Linked DNA regions of Saccharomyces cerevisiae S288C. Changing the gene in region 2 together with the main gene of any one other region gives a genetic interaction. Each region holds a gene or a part of one and is shown on either strand. Other genes may lie near its edges.

Region 1 (6,384 bases), on a different chromosome or scaffold from region 2:
TTGAATAACCTGAACGACGATAATTTGAAGGTAGTACAGGATAAATTAATTAAAAATGAGGAGACGCTAAAACTAAAAGAAGCTGAAATTGATTCATTGAATAGTGAAATGGACGAGCTAAAAAAACAGATCACTTCAAAAGATGATGAATTTAAGATGTGGCAAAGTAAATACGAAACTGTCGAAGACGAAGCTAAGATACGCAATGCCGAAGTTACAGAGTTGAACGGAGATATTGAAGATCTAAAGGAATCAAAATTGCATTTGGAAGAAACAATTACGGAACTAGAAAACAAAGTTCATAAACTAGAAAATGAGTGTGAACTGGAGAAACAAAAATTCGAAAAAACTTCGCTAGAATTAGAAAGCTTACAACTAAAAAATAGTAACATTCAGGCTGAGCACATCAAAGAATTGGAAAATCTTCATGAAAACCTTATTTCTCTTCAAAATGAATTGAAGATTTCATCCGACAGGATAACAACATTAACAAAAGAAAATGAAGTATTAATGGAACAAAATAATAATAACAATAATAGCGTTACTTTAAGCAATGATCAAAAGGATAGAGATGATGAAAAAATTAAATCATTAGGAAAACAAGTACAAGATTGGAAAGAAAAGTATGAGGCCAAAGAAAAAGATACAAATAAAAGGCTAAAGTTATTAGCAGAAGATTTGTATATCCAGTATTCATCCAAACACGAACAAAAGGTCAAACTGTTGAAAAAAGGCTATGAAAACAAGTACCAAAATAAGTTTGATCAATTAAATTTAGAAAATAAAACTCTGTCAGAAGAAATCGAGCAATTGAACAAGCAGCTGTCTTCAGAAAGAGAAGAAAAGCAGGAGTTACTCAAGTTGTTAGAAAATGAAAAAAAATAAACGCATTTTTTTCTTTTGCATTTTATCTTTTCCCTTAATATGTCATGAGAATAAAATATTAAGGATATACCGTAAATATACAAATTCGTATCGAATATTTGATATTGTTTCCTAACTTTTCTGTGTTAAAAATAAATATGCAAAAACATACTAACCATAAAAATAAATAAAATACAAGATATAAATAAATAATCCAGCAAGCAAAGACATTGCGGTCCATGCCATAATTGTTTTCTTCCAACTATTAGATTTCAGTGTGCATTATTTCATGTTTCTTTTCTTCAAAACGTTCTCAATAAATGCTTCACCAGCCTTATATGACGATCTTACTAGGGGTCCAGATGCACAATACAAGAATCCCATCTCTAAAGCTCTCTCTTTCCAGTAGTCAAACTTTTCGGGTTTCACATATTCTACGACTTTCATATGTCTCTTGGTTGGCCTCATATATTGACCAAATGTAACAACATCACATTGAATATTGCGCAAATCCTTCAAAGTTTGAGTAATTTGCTCATCAGTTTCTCCTAGACCCAGCATTATTGATGTTTTAGTAATCAGTGACGGAACCGTAGCTTTTGCCCTTTCTAAAACACTCAAAGACTGTCTATAAGTAGCTCTTCTGTCTCTGACATGTGGTGTTAGTGATTCAACTGTTTCCAAATTATGTGCGTAAACATCAAGCCCACATTGTGCCATAATGTCCACCATCTTCAAATCACCTCTGAAATCACCAGAAAGAGTCTCTACAAGAGTATTTGGTGCCTTCTGTTTGATTTTGCGAACCGTCTCGGCCAGGTGATTAGCACCACCATCGACTAAATCGTCCCTATCAACGGTAGTTAAAACAACATAACCCAACCCCCATCTTTTGATAGCTTCGGCAGTATTTTCGGGCTCCATTGGGTCCGGCTTACTAGGCGTTCTATTGGTCTTCACAGAACAAAACCTACATCCACGAGTGCAAGTATCACCAAGCAGCATAATTGTTGCCGTTGCCTTAGATTTATCTTTGCCTCCCCAACATTCACCAATATTGGGACATCTTGCCTCCTCACAAACAGTACTCAGGCCTAATTCTTTTACGTCGCCTTTCAATTTATGGTAATTGGTACCCTTAGGAATAGGAACCTTAAGCCAACGAGGTAGTTTTTTAGCTTCCTCTGTATTTTGCCTTGCCTTCTCCAGAGGGTCCAAGATCATTTTCGAAGCTTTACCTGAAACAAAATCTGCAAAAGATGGACCCAAATTAAGAGCATCTTTGAACTCTGTAATTCTTTTTCTGTTCCCCTTGCGTCTTTTTCCCGAAGTCCCTGTTAACTGACTGGTTGCATTTTCAACCTCAGTTGAATTTCCAACTGGTACCCTAACGCTAGCGTTATCTGAATCAGTATTCAATGCATTGGATCTTATTGGCCGAGTTGCGCTCGTTCCACACCTAATAGTGGACGAAATCCATCTTGTATTTCTCCCAACAAATAGTACTCCAACAGATCGTCTATACATTATTGTGGCTTAACAGTTCTCCTTAAAATCCACATAACTGACAAAACTGGATACTTAATGCCCATCGAGTCATATACATATATTTGATTACTACAAGTGCTTTTCAAATAACTGCTTCGAGAAAAGCGTCCGGGTAATAACAACTATTGAAAAAGCATGGCTTCGCATTAATAGGAGCCAAAAATATGAAGATGAGCCTCGAAGTTTATCTAAACTACCACCAAAGAAGACCGACTAGATTTACAATCATGTATCCAGGTAGTGGACGTTACACCTACAACAACGCTGGTGGTAATAATGGCTACCAACGGCCCATGGCTCCTCCACCTAACCAGCAGTATGGACAGCAATATGGTCAGCAATATGAACAGCAGTATGGACAGCAATATGGGCAACAAAATGATCAGCAATTCAGTCAGCAATATGCTCCACCACCAGGTCCTCCCCCTATGGCTTATAACAGGCCTGTGTATCCCCCCCCTCAATTCCAGCAGGAACAGGCAAAGGCACAATTAAGCAACGGCTACAACAATCCTAATGTAAACGCATCCAATATGTACGGTCCACCCCAGAATATGTCATTACCTCCACCTCAAACACAAACTATTCAAGGTACAGACCAACCTTATCAGTATTCTCAATGTACTGGGCGTAGAAAGGCTTTGATTATCGGTATAAACTACATAGGTTCAAAAAATCAACTGCGTGGTTGTATCAATGATGCTCATAACATCTTCAACTTTTTGACTAATGGGTACGGTTACAGTTCAGATGACATTGTCATATTAACTGATGATCAGAACGATTTGGTCAGGGTTCCCACTAGGGCTAATATGATTAGGGCCATGCAATGGTTGGTCAAGGATGCGCAACCCAATGATTCTTTGTTCCTTCATTATTCTGGACATGGTGGCCAAACTGAAGATTTGGATGGGGACGAAGAAGATGGGATGGATGATGTTATATATCCGGTCGATTTCGAAACTCAAGGGCCAATTATCGACGATGAAATGCACGATATAATGGTGAAGCCCTTACAACAAGGTGTTAGACTAACAGCATTGTTTGACTCTTGTCATTCGGGTACAGTGTTGGATCTTCCATATACCTATTCTACTAAGGGTATTATTAAGGAGCCCAATATTTGGAAGGATGTTGGCCAAGATGGCCTGCAAGCAGCTATTTCATATGCCACAGGAAACAGGGCTGCTTTGATTGGTTCTTTAGGTTCTATATTCAAGACCGTTAAGGGAGGTATGGGCAATAATGTGGATAGAGAACGCGTGAGACAGATCAAATTCTCAGCAGCAGATGTTGTTATGTTATCAGGTTCGAAGGATAATCAAACTTCTGCAGATGCTGTCGAAGATGGGCAAAATACAGGTGCAATGTCCCACGCCTTCATCAAGGTTATGACTTTACAACCACAGCAATCATATTTATCTCTTTTACAGAACATGAGGAAAGAATTGGCTGGTAAGTATTCTCAAAAACCACAATTATCATCGTCACACCCTATTGACGTAAATCTGCAATTTATTATGTAGAAATATATGAATGTGTACGTTGGTAGATGTATTCAGACTGGTGTAGTATGTGATTCAATTTTTATTTTTTTAGAAAGCAGAAACAATCTAAGCTATTAATACTATATACATATAGGCAAAGATATATAGGGAATAGGCATTTTGGAAAATAAGACCATGTGTTTTTTTAACGTAGTGAATACTAAGTACAGAAAAAAACATCACCTCAACCAAAGAAAAATTAAGTAATGAAGAAAGATCAGGAGAAAAATTTTTTTCTACTTCAGGTTTAATTTTCTTTATCTTTTTCAGACTCTTCCTGTTCTTTCAATCTTTTTTCTTCCAATTCCTTTTTTACTTGTTGCTCTTTGTTAGAGTAGTCCAAATTTAATTTCTCAATTTCCTTTTCGACAGATTCAATGTTTTGTTTTGTTTGCTCTTCTTGTTTCGACAAAAGCTCTTCATGCTTCTTCTTCAATTGCTCAACGGTGATCTTGACATCATCACTGTTGATTGGGACAGTTACGTCTAATTCGGCCAAAGTAGCAATTAGTGTTGGTTCTAAAGTAAACTTGCCATCGACTTTGTTGAAAATAGAAGCAGGTTGCTCATTTTCAGTGTTCTTCTGTTGGTTCTTCTTCTTGTATTTCTTAGATTTAGATGGAGCAACATTGACAAAATCATCCTTCTTTGGAGTGACCAAAACCAAATCATCAGCAACAACTTTTCTGGCAGGCTTGGTCTCCAAAGCATTGCTACTCAAGTCAGGCAGGATGTTTTTCTTTGGTTTCACATAAGTTGGGTCCAGGACAAGCAAAGAATTCTCAATGGCACCGATTTCATAAGTGAAGGCTGGAATCTTGGCATGAGTCAACTTTTCTTGCAATTTACCCATATCAACATCTTTCTGTTCCAAAAGTTTGGATAATCTTTGTTCTTCTTCACGTTTCAAACGTTCTTTGTCCAATTTGGCTCTGAATGATTTGAATTCGTTGTCAAAGTCAGCTCTGATCTGTCTGATTTGACTGTATAATTCGTCACGCTTCTTGTACAAGGCAGCACGTTTGTTGAATAAAGTTTGTCTTTTGTCGTAAACACCTTGAGTTTTTGAATGGATATCGTTCAATTTTTGCTGGTTCTCTTCGAATTGGTTGGAGACATCCTTTGGATTCAATCCGTTCAATTCTTCCTTCAATTGATTGATTTTAGCCTTGTCAGCATCAACAGACTTTCTGATTGGCTCGATGTTAACTAAGTCCTTAATCAATTTGTTCAAAGATTGCATTTCTTTGACTAGTAGTTTTTCTTGAACCAAAGAAAGGTCACCAGAGGCAATAGACTCTTCAATCTCATTGATTCTTTGCTTGGCTTCTGCAGTGGACGAGAACTTGGCCTTTTTGCCTAACTTCTCCTCAATTTGGTTGTTTTTTCTCTTGATTTGAGCATCCAATTGCTTAATAGAGTCGTGAATGTTGCTTCTACGGGTTTTCAAGTCAGCTTGGATCTTGATGATCTCCTTGTTCTTATCCTGTAACTTCTTACGTTCTTGTTGGGTGGTATCGTTGACCTGGTGTTGATCGATTTGCTTTCTAATTAAACCGATTTCAGTGTCGATTTTTTTCAATTGAACGTTAAGAGTGTCCAATTTCTTGTCTCTAACGGAGACATCTGGGCGCTTGAACTTGTGTTGTTGGGAGGACATGGCAATGGCTGTGTTGTTAGAAAATATGCTATTACGTTGATAAAAGGAGGAAAGGTGAAATCAGTTCAAAAATGTGAATGAAACTGAACGAAGAAATGACCAGAATGAGTGAAAAATGGAGATGGAGGGGCAAAATGAAAAAAAAAAAAAGGATGAACCTAAAATAGAAAATAGACTCCGTCGTACTTTAATGCTATGTATAACGCAACCAAGCAATTTTCGAAACTCAATTTGGCTTATAAATGTTCGAGATAAAATGCGAATTACGTGTTCAACGTCGTCGAGATCAGTTATTTTTTTTCACCGCCACAGTGCGGGTAAGCAATTTTTCGCGTACCACCACCATTACACATGTATAATGTATATAGGCTTATTATGTATGTTTGTGCTACTTTATATGACGGTTATTTACAAGTTAGAATATTATCTATTAACAATGCAGTAGCCACGCTTACGTTTAGTGAGTCAACAATGGGTTCTGGGGCCCGATTGCCTTTCTCAATGCCACCAAAGGGAATTTCGACGAAGAAGTCACTCCTCATCTTCAAATTCGTTCTTACGCCCTGGCTTTCGTTCCCCACCACTAGAACAACAGGCAGCTCGTTACATAATCCGTTCAAATCGTGCATGCTAATAGTTTTTCCAACAGTGTATTTTTCTGACGTGGCATTAGCTAAGTGGCTTGTAATAAACGTCCAGCCACCCATTTCTTGTGATTTAGTAAAAAACTCTAACGGTTTATCAACGTAAAATATGGGCAGAAGT
Region 2 (10,228 bases):
ACAACTCTCACAAATGGCAAAAGCCATCCCCCTTTGACTCCGCAAACTTACTACTTAACTTCAGAGACTGGACAACTGACAATGCTCTCCTCCAAGAGTTGCTACTATCCTATCCCACAATTAATAAAAACAAACACAAAAATCACTCCGTCCCTCGTCTAATACAAGTTTGAATGACGATTTTTCTGAAATCTTTGTTTACATTTCATTCTATGTGCGCTAGATATAAAAATCTTATTGTGAAAGGTGTTTGAATCAATTTGAAAAAATGTAGGTTGAATTTGGTTAGATTTGGCCCCCGAAATCGATAATAATGGCCAAATACTAAGTACATTAATTAGTTAATTGTTCTTTCATTAATAATTTGAATTCCAAATAAGTCCGTGCCGAAAACTTTAATGTTTTAAAAAAACATAAAAAAATCAAAAACCCATTCATAAGATACTGTGTTGATCCATATATTAATAGGTTTTAAGTACATATAGAATACTTAAGAAATTACATTCCATTGCGATACACCTATTTGATTCTGATTGTGTTGAAGTCTGTATAAAAGGCGAAAAAAATAAAATGAAAATAAGAAAATAACTGCGCTACTTGTCTTCTAAATTATCTTCTGGTGTCTCGTCCTTTTTTGGTATGATTAATTTCTTATTGGATGAAAAACTACAAAACAAAAATCCTAAGGCATAAAACCCTAGATCCATCCAAAATACGTTCTTAATGGAGTCGCTTAAAATGTTTCCAATAGTCGAATGAGAACCGTCGTAGTTTTGAAGACGATACAAAATCATGTCATCAACCGTTTTTCCTTCGTAAGGCTCTAGATGAGCTCGTGATACTTTGTTGTGAAAGGAGGCGGAAAAAACAGTGGTTGAAAGCACACCACCAAGAGTTGTACCTAATGACTTCATGAATGTATTGAAAGCTGTTACTTCAATAAAGTCCATAGCAGCTTCTGGACGATCTTTGGTAATTTGAAGCTGTGCACTCATGAGCGATGCTTGTAGAGCAAATCCAAGGGAAAACCCCGGTAATAGCAAAACACCAATTTGAGTTGACTTCGTGGACGTATTTGTCATAAGTGTCATAAGCCCTGCTCCAATTACCCCAAGAACGCCTCCAAATATTAAGAGTGGTTTAACTAAACCGAGCTTTTTGGTAATCACACCACTTGCAATGGCCGCAATAACGTTGGTAATAACGATTGGTATCAAGTGAAGACCGGCTTTCCATGCACTCGACGCAAATATAAGTTGGAAAAACTGGACAGAGTATATCATTTGCCCATTGTAACCGGTACATAATAGAAATGTTACCATGTTTATTATTATTATGGCTGGTTTTGCTACCAATCTTCTTAGAAGGAGAGGCCTGTAGGATATATTATCAGGTTCCGGGTTGAATTTATCGAATAAGAAGAAATCGTACACCAATGAAAAAATAAAAAGTAAGACACCCAAAACCAAATATGCGATGACTTGGCCAGAGTTCCAACTATATTTATTACCACCAAAGGTTAGCCCCAGTAGGAAAAGGACCAGCCCTGCAGAGCAGAGGGCAAAACCAAAGAAGTCAAACTTGAAGATTATGCCATTCATAAGTCTTTTAAAATTAACTTGGTGTCTGAACTTACTAAAAGTAAAGCTCGAGATTGTTCCTATAGCATCTTTAATTTGTTGAAGTATACCCTTATTCTCGGCCTTATATGTGAGTAAAAACATAATAATGGCAAGACCACCGATAGGAAGATTGATATAGAAGCACCACCTCCAGGTAACATGGGTTGTAAAGGCACCTCCGATTATAGGACCAACGATAGCAGCTACAGCAAATGCACAACTTAGGATGGAAATCACCAATGGACGTGACCTTTCACCAACCATCGTACAACCAATAACAAAGCAAAGCGTTTGAAGTCCGCTTCCCCCAACACTAGCAACAACTCTACCGACAATGAGCATATTCATTGAAGAGGCAAGGGCAGCAATTAGGGATCCGGCTTCAAAAATAAGTATTGCTAAAATGAGACTATGCTGGAAACCTATGATAGATGCGAATCTTCCCCAAATGAGACTCAGAATAGCATTTGGTAAACTGTAGCCTGTAACGAGCCAACCTGTTTTGGAGTAGTTTCCGAACTGTTCTGCGACCACGTCAATAATAGTTCCCACTATCAAAATATCCAGTGCAGTTATGAATAGTACAAGAGTTCACGAAGCCAGGCAGAGGTACAAGGAAAGTCCCATTGGAGAATCATTGCTACCTCTAGCATTCAATGAAGCGTCTGAACCACATGCTTCTTCTATCTCCTGCTGCGAAGAGTACTTAGTTTCCTCCATATTTTTGAATTTCTATCGATTAAGCTCTATACCAGGTATGATCTGGTCTGATCAGTTCTAGGTATAAGCATAACTAGAATACATCTATACATGTGTATATCTATATCTATATATATGTATATATATATATTTAAACCAAAAAAAAAAAAAAATTCGCTTCTCATAAAGGTGTGATGACACTATTATCTTTTGCATATCTTGTCGTCTCGTATCATGTACGCGCTGCATATGAGGTGCGGCGCTATCTGTTAAATATGTACCAATTTGCACCTGCTGCAAAGGAAATGTGGCACTACTTTTACTCGCATGTTAACTTTCACCTACTATATATAGAAAAAAGGGTGTTGTTTTCAATCGCTGACTAATTTGCTCAAATACTCTTTACAAAAAGGAAATTGTGTATCAGTAACCCTTACGGTTTGTTTATGAAGGAACTTTGCTCGTCCTACACCACCGGATCTAGGTACTCAATTTTTTGATGATTTTGCACTTGTGCGCATATCCTGTCGACAGGCACCGCATTTTTTTCCTTGTTTCAACAGACATAAACACAAGCTTCACTCATCAGTTTGAAAAGAGATAGTTTCGACGGTACAGTATTCTTGTCGTACAAAAGTCTTCGGTATAACTGGTTCGTCGTGGATTTTCGGAAACTAAGTTGATTGTACGACGACAGGTCAAAGTTAAAGTTAAAGTCACCAGGTGTATAGACACCACATTGAAGGGGTGTCACAGCAATTTTTTTTTTTTTTTTTTTTGATACTCAATAATTACGAGCATATAATTTTAGTACTTCCAAAAAAAAAGTTAAACAAAAAATAGTGACGAAAGGTGTCAGTAAAAGTATATATGAGAACATGGAATGTATTAAAGTAATTCCATTTCTAGCAGATGTAGCGACCGTAGAATCTTAAATACTATTTACATAAATAAGAAAAGTAAAATAGTTTTATGGACTGGAAAGAGAAAAAAAAAAAAAAGGAATAATCAAGTAAATAAATTATCGGATGAGTTCTAGTGTTGTTGGTGCCTCAAGTAATAAAAAAAGTGGAATTAGGCAGTCCTGTGAGATTATTGAGCGAGAACGTCACTCAAACGATGACACGTACTCTATGACATCGACCTTTTTTAAGCTCAAAGAAAACGAAATTATGTCTGCACAGTTTGATTCCTTGAAATATAAAATTCTACTGATAAGTACCGCGTTTGTATGTGGGTTTGGAATTAGTTTAGACTACACACTTAGATCGACCTATACGGGCTATGCGACGAACTCATATTCAGAACACTCCTTACTTTCAACTGTCCAAGTTATCAATGCTGTTGTAAGTGTCGGATCCCAAGTTGTCTACTCCAGACTCTCTGACCACTTCGGAAGACTAAGGCTTTTTTTAGTTGCAACTATTTTTTATATAATGGGAACCATCATTCAATCACAGGCGACCCGTCTCACAATGTATGCAGCAGGATCGGTTTTCTATAACTGTGGATACGTCGGAACAAATCTGCTCCTGACATTAATACTTTCTGATTTCTCCTCCTTGAAGTGGAGAATGTTTTACCAGTACGCCTCATATTGGCCATATATCATAATACCATGGATTTCAGGTAATATTATCACAGCAGCAAATCCTCAGAAAAACTGGTCCTGGAATATTGCAATGTGGGCTTTTATTTACCCACTCTCTGCCTTGCCAATTATATTTCTTATTCTTTATATGAAGTACAAATCTTCAAAGACTGCTGAGTGGAGATCTCTCAAAGAACAGGCTAGAAAGGAAAGAACGGGCGGATTATTTGAGAATTTGGTGTTTCTATTCTGGAAACTCGATATTGTTGGCATATTATTAATAACTGTGTCGCTAGGGTGTATCCTTGTCCCTTTGACGTTGGCTAATGAGACATCACAGAAGTGGCACAATTCAAAAATAATTGCCACTTTAGTTTCAGGTGGCTGTTTATTTTTCATTTTTTTATATTGGGAGGCCAAATTTGCCAAATCTCCTCTTCTACCGTTCAAATTACTAAGTGATCGTGGAATTTGGGCACCCCTTGGTGTTACTTTTTTCAATTTTTTCACCTTTTTCATTTCGTGTGACTATCTGTATCCTGTTTTGCTGGTATCGATGAAAGAATCGTCCACTTCGGCTGCTCGGATAGTAAACCTTCCTGACTTTGTTGCTGCTACTGCATCTCCATTCTACAGTTTGTTGGTGGCAAAGACAAGGAAACTGAAACTTTCTGTAATCGGAGGTTGTGCTGCATGGATGGTGTGCATGGGCCTTTTTTACAAATACAGAGGAGGATCTGGGTCTCATGAAGGTGTTATCGCTGCATCTGTTATCATGGGTTTGAGTGGTCTCCTATGCAGCAATTCAGTGATCGTCATACTGCAAGCCATGACTACGCATAGTAGGATGGCTGTAATAACCGGCATCCAGTATACCTTTTCAAAGCTAGGCGCTGCTATCGGTGCCTCCGTTTCTGGTGCCATATGGACACAAACCATGCCTAACCAACTCTACAAGAACCTTGGAAACGATACATTGGCAGAAATAGCATATGCATCACCTTATACATTCATTAGTGATTATCCTTGGGGCTCACCCGAAAGAGATGCTGTGGTTGAATCTTACAGATATGTTCAACGAATAATAATGACGGTTGGCTTGGCATGTACGGTACCGTTCTTTGCGTTTACAATGTTCATGAGAGACCCGGAACTAATAGACAAGGCGACACACGAAGAATTCACTGAAGATGGTTTGGTTGTCTTGCCAGATGAGGAAAATATTTTCTCTCAAATCAAGGCACTTTTTAGACATAATCGAAGTAACAAGAAATTAGGATGTTGATCCCCAAGCTGGTGAAAAAAGGGCAAAAAAAAATGAAAGCAAAATCACAAAAAAGGCAAAAACAAGTGATTTCTACACTTTTATTACTTCCGATAAAAATGACATAACAGGATAGGATAAACATGCTCGATAGACCCACATCTGAACTTGCGACGCATATAGCTGTGTCGTACTTTTTATTTTCACAAGCGTCGGTAAAGACTCAGCGTCGGTAAAGACTCAGCGTCGGTAAAGACTCAGCGTCGGTAAAGACTCAGCGTCAGTAAAAGAGTCAGCGTCATTGATATTGAAAGTGCGGGAGGAGTTACTATCCAATAAATGATGCTGGAAATGCGCTCTGTATGAATGCATTAATTATGTTGTACCGAAAAAGAAAGAAAGAAAGAAAAAAAAGGAGAATCATGTAACTTCTAGTAAGGGCGTCATGTCATAGCACTTTTCTAAGTGTATGCCATTGTAAATCATTCTAGGCGAAAAAAAGTGATATGTCTCCTGGTATTTTGTATTGTTGTCGTTACAAGTTGATGTGTTCCGTAGTGTGAGTGCAACATGCGATTTTGGTACCGCAAAAAAGGTACAGATCACATGGGCACAGATACAACAATTCTTTATGCCTGTATTGAGATCATAGTTTTCTTGGAGTCGGCAACAGTCTACGGGTGAACCCAATAATCCAGCAGTAAATCTACTAACCGAACATTGTGTCGGAATTTACACATTACTGATATAATTCGTCCCATTAAACTTGCGAGTGATTTCCAAAACAAGTACTACATTGAGCGTGTTCAGCGTGCCCAAAAAAAATGGACTTGAAAATCTTGTTGAATTAACTGTATATCCTTTAAGTTAACTGCCACAATGATAGCTACTCCGCGATATATTGATGTTACTAACCTTTTGAGATTCTTCACCAATGTTGCAGCGTGATTTAATTTTGATGAAATCATTTTTGTTGAAATAGTAGGATCCTGTATAGGCTGAAATATACTGATCTTCGATATACCGCTCATTTTACATGGTACAGCCATGTATTTTGGGGATATCAAATATCATACCCGATTGAGCTGGACAGATGTCGACTATGGCTCCTTACTAACAGAGTATGGTTGTGAAGCTAATACAGATAATGTCTCACTCGTGCAGTCACATCTCCATTGAAAGCTGTGGAGTTTTTCCAGACACCAGTAGCAGCGCCAATGGCAGCACTACAGCGAAAATTGAACTCATAGCACATCCCTGAATCGTGGACAGTTAATGTATGTTGTTGTGACTCAGACGATAACGATAAGCCTCAAAAAGTTGTGTCCTCTCATCATCCTCGAGCACCAGTATATCATAAGCAAAGAATCTTCGATAATGATTTGGAAAAAAAGCGAAAGCGAAGCCAATGTGTTTTATTACTGCTGCATTACTGAAGAGATATAAGAAGCGCTAACTCAATTACAAGAGCACATAACGGAATTAATCCTGCGAAACAGAACAGTAATTGACACCCTTATAGTAGCCTTTTTTAACAGTTAATTATGGAAAACTGAGTTTGAAATTCAATGTTAACGCAAGTTTCTGTTATTTTTGCGAATCTATACGGTCTCAACGAGACGATATGCTCTAAGATTCTACTTCTCTGCGGATGATTCTTTCGGTTATCGATGCCCTTTACCAAGGCCTCTCATACCATAGTATCAGAAGAGCAATGCATATTCATTCATAGATATAATGTGATATGGAGAGCAATAGGAAACATAAATCTAGGGGAGAAAAATGTGTTCAATATAAGAATATTAAAAAAATATTAAAATGAAAATTGAAAAAGGCCTCTTTGATACACACAAATAATGCCATCTCTTCCAGGAAAAGATAAGTAAGATAAACTGGCTATGTTATGTTGTCTGTTTATATGTTAATACAAGGAATTAAGATCTATCTTATATGCCTTAGTGTAGCGCAAGTGTCGGACATTTCTATATAAAATAAGTATAAGACACGTAAAATTACTACTTCTCTGTGTGTATATACCTATGTTACGGTATTGCATGCGAGATGGGGCTAAACGAGGCCGTAGGGACATATAGCACCTTAGAAACAACCTTGTATGAAATCTTTCATTATTTCCTGTTTCGGCACTTGAGTCAAGGTATTTTTTTTATCGTGGGATATGTTGACGTAGTGAATTACGATCTAACTTATATGTCATAATATAGTAAGTTTATTGGACCTTTCTACATGTTATGTAAATGTAAGAATTACATAGTTAGTGTTTTGTACACAGAAAGTATAGTTTCTTAAGTACTACCTGATTACAGGTTTACTATTATATGTTTTCTTTGTCTAAAACATTACTGAAACAACTCTGAAACAATACTAAAGCATTACTCATATCATGCTATTAGGTTACCACATTTAACATCCCCCCATAACTGAATACGCATGAGTATGGTTATTTTGTAGTTTCTGGTTCCCTTATCATGACAGCCCTATGTGTTTTAAATGATTCAGCTGGAAGGATTTTTGTAAATATGTCAGCAACTTGTTTCTTTGTGATAACATGTTCTATGGTAATTATGCCTGCTGCCACTGCATTTCTTAGCTTGTGGTATCTCAAAGCAATGTGTTTTGCTCTCGTGTGAAATACAGGATGTTTAGACAGTTTTATAGCAGGTTTATTATCTACATATGATGTTGATGAGATAAGTGGCTGGCCTAAGTGTTCAAACAAGTTTTGAATCCATTATATCTCCATGACAGTTTCACTTGCAGTAATGTATTCTGCCTCAGTAGATGGTACAGGAATCACACCCTTGAGCTTCTTCGATGACCACGTAACGGGAGCACCAGCAAGTAGAGTCACGTACCCCCCAGTAGAGTGTGGTAGATCGTGAATAGCTCCATGAGATGCATCACAATATACAGTTAATGCCAACTGAGATCCAGAACGATACTTGAGACACATACTTCTGGTGGTATATAGGTACCGTAGAACCCGCCGAGCAGACTCCAAATGGATTGCGCGAGGTTCTCGAAGGAACCTGGAGAGTAATGAGACTGGATACGATATGTCCGGACGACCAGTATTTGCACAAAAGAGAAGCTGACCAACTATGCTCTGATAAGGAGTGATGTCTTTTAGATGCGGGGAAGTTGTTTCGAAAAGAGGCTTTGAGTTGCAGAGCGGAGTCTGTGTAAGTTTAAATGTGTTTATTTCGCTTTCAGATGCAGCTTTAGCAATATAGTCTTGAAGGGAGAGAGTGATGTCTCCGTTTGACGATTGATGAATGTTAAGACCGAGGAATTTGTCAACTTTACCGAGATCCTTCATTGAGTATAATTTCGTTAATTCTTGCTTAACCCTGTCATATATTTTAGGAGAGGGAGCAGCAACAAGTAAGTCGTCTACGTATACGGCAATGTAGATGGGACCATCAGATGTGGAACGAAAATATAAGCCATGTTCGCCTTCATGTCGACAGAAACCAATCTTTTTAAGAGTATTGTTGATATGTTCGTTCCATAGTAATGGGGCTTGTTTGAGTCCATACATACCGCCGTATAGTTCCCATACATAGTCGGGATTCCTCTCGTTAACAAACCCGGGTGGTTGTTTTACGTAGATCGGCTCATCCATGGTTGAGTTTAGAAACGCAGTGTCAACGTCCATCTGATATACTATTAGTTTGAGGCAGCTAGCAAGGGCCAGAAATAATCTAACAGAGTCATATCGAATGACTGGTGCAAAGGTTTCCTGATAGTCAATACCAGCCTTTTGAGTATGTCCTTGGGCGACAAGGCGAGCTTTGTACTTCCCAGAGTCTTTTATTGTGAATACCCAGCTGTAGAAACCACATCATCAGGTGATTGCACAGTGACACCCTCTTTTGTGAACGTAACAGAAGAGTTTGATTTAGTGCATAGTTTTCAAACGGATATCAGGTTAACTGGTAAATCAGGAACGTAAGATACGTCATGTAATTGAACAGTGCCAATGTTTACAGTTCCGGAGCCCATGATGGGTATGGAACCGCCAACTCCTCTGACAAAGTCTTTCCTAGAGGATCTAGTAAATGATGAAAAAATGGAACGGTCGTGGCACATGTGGGAAGTACATCCTGTGTCAAAAATCCATTCTGAGGATTTGGTAGCTGGAACAGTCGAAGATAACATACAGAGCCAGGACTTCGGTGTTATCTGTCCTGCTGTTTGGCCTTGCGTTTCATAGTCAGGAATCGCGACACTAGCAGATGAAGATCTACTCGTTTTGTCATTAGGATATAATTTAAAGATTCGTGCTTCTGGTATTCTTCGTTTAAGCAGAGAACAGTTGCTTATGCGATGATCAGCTCCGTAAATTATATACATCCCTTATTTCCTTTCTTTTGATAGTTTCTTCTGTCTTGTGCAACCAATGCATCTGAGACCGAAGATGATGAATTCGATGACGCATTTAATTTACAGAATCTAATGACTTGTGATAGCTGAAGAGCCTTAGAGTCACCGAATTTCTCGTGGAATGATTCTTTTAACTCGGGTAAGAAGGTCATTAATAACAACGCGATATTGGTGTCGCGTCTTTTTTTTTTGTCCTGTTCTTCGCTATTGTCTTCAAGCATCGTGAATAGAGTTTTCAAAAAGGAAGCAATTTCATCTACAGGCTTGGAGGATATATTTGGTAGGTCCTCTATAAGAGTAAGCCTGGATCCAATAGTGACTTCATTATAGTTTTCTTCGAAGTGCGAGAAAATATCATAAGCAGAGACCCTTCCAAGCGAATCATCACATATCCAGTTCATTTCACATGCAGCTTCACCCACGATAGTTTTCTTGTAGAGCTTTACCAGGAAACTGTTAAATACGGTTTTGACAAAGCTTTCATCATTCGCGCTGAGATTGTAATCCCTTTTCATTGATTGGATATCTCCGGTATGAACGAATTCGTTCATATATTCGTTAGCATATTCAGCAGCGGTCTCGATACCGTACAGCCACTGTTTATAATTGTTGGGGCTAGATAGATTGATTATGTTCTCAGAAGCATTG

Evidence for each region. A genetic interaction does not mean that the proteins touch.
Region 1: mutations in VBA3 (region 2) and MCA1 together harm fitness more than expected from each alone (negative genetic interaction), as found in Saccharomyces cerevisiae (2 studies listed by BioGRID).

The regions. Positions count from the first base shown.
Region 1 is NC_001147.6:714,447-720,830, forward strand, and holds MCA1 (Ca(2+)-dependent cysteine protease MCA1), read left to right. Parts: upstream 1-2,639; coding exon 2,640-3,938; downstream 3,939-6,384. Other genes in the region: SLK19 (Slk19p), read left to right, coding at 1-885; LIP5 (lipoate synthase), read right to left, coding at 1,147-2,391; BFR1 (Bfr1p), read right to left, coding at 4,207-5,619; MRM1 (Mrm1p), read right to left, coding at 6,024-6,384. UniProt on the Saccharomyces cerevisiae protein: Cysteine protease that cleaves specifically after arginine or lysine residues. Mediates cell death (apoptosis) triggered by oxygen stress, salt stress or chronological aging.
Region 2 is NC_001135.5:1,448-11,675, reverse strand, and holds VBA3 (basic amino acid transporter), read right to left. Parts: upstream 1,971-10,228; coding exon 594-1,970; downstream 1-593. Other genes in the region: YCL068C (uncharacterized protein), read left to right, coding at 1-173; GEX1 (glutathione exchanger), read left to right, coding at 3,350-5,197. UniProt on the Saccharomyces cerevisiae protein: Transporter required for vacuolar uptake of histidine and lysine.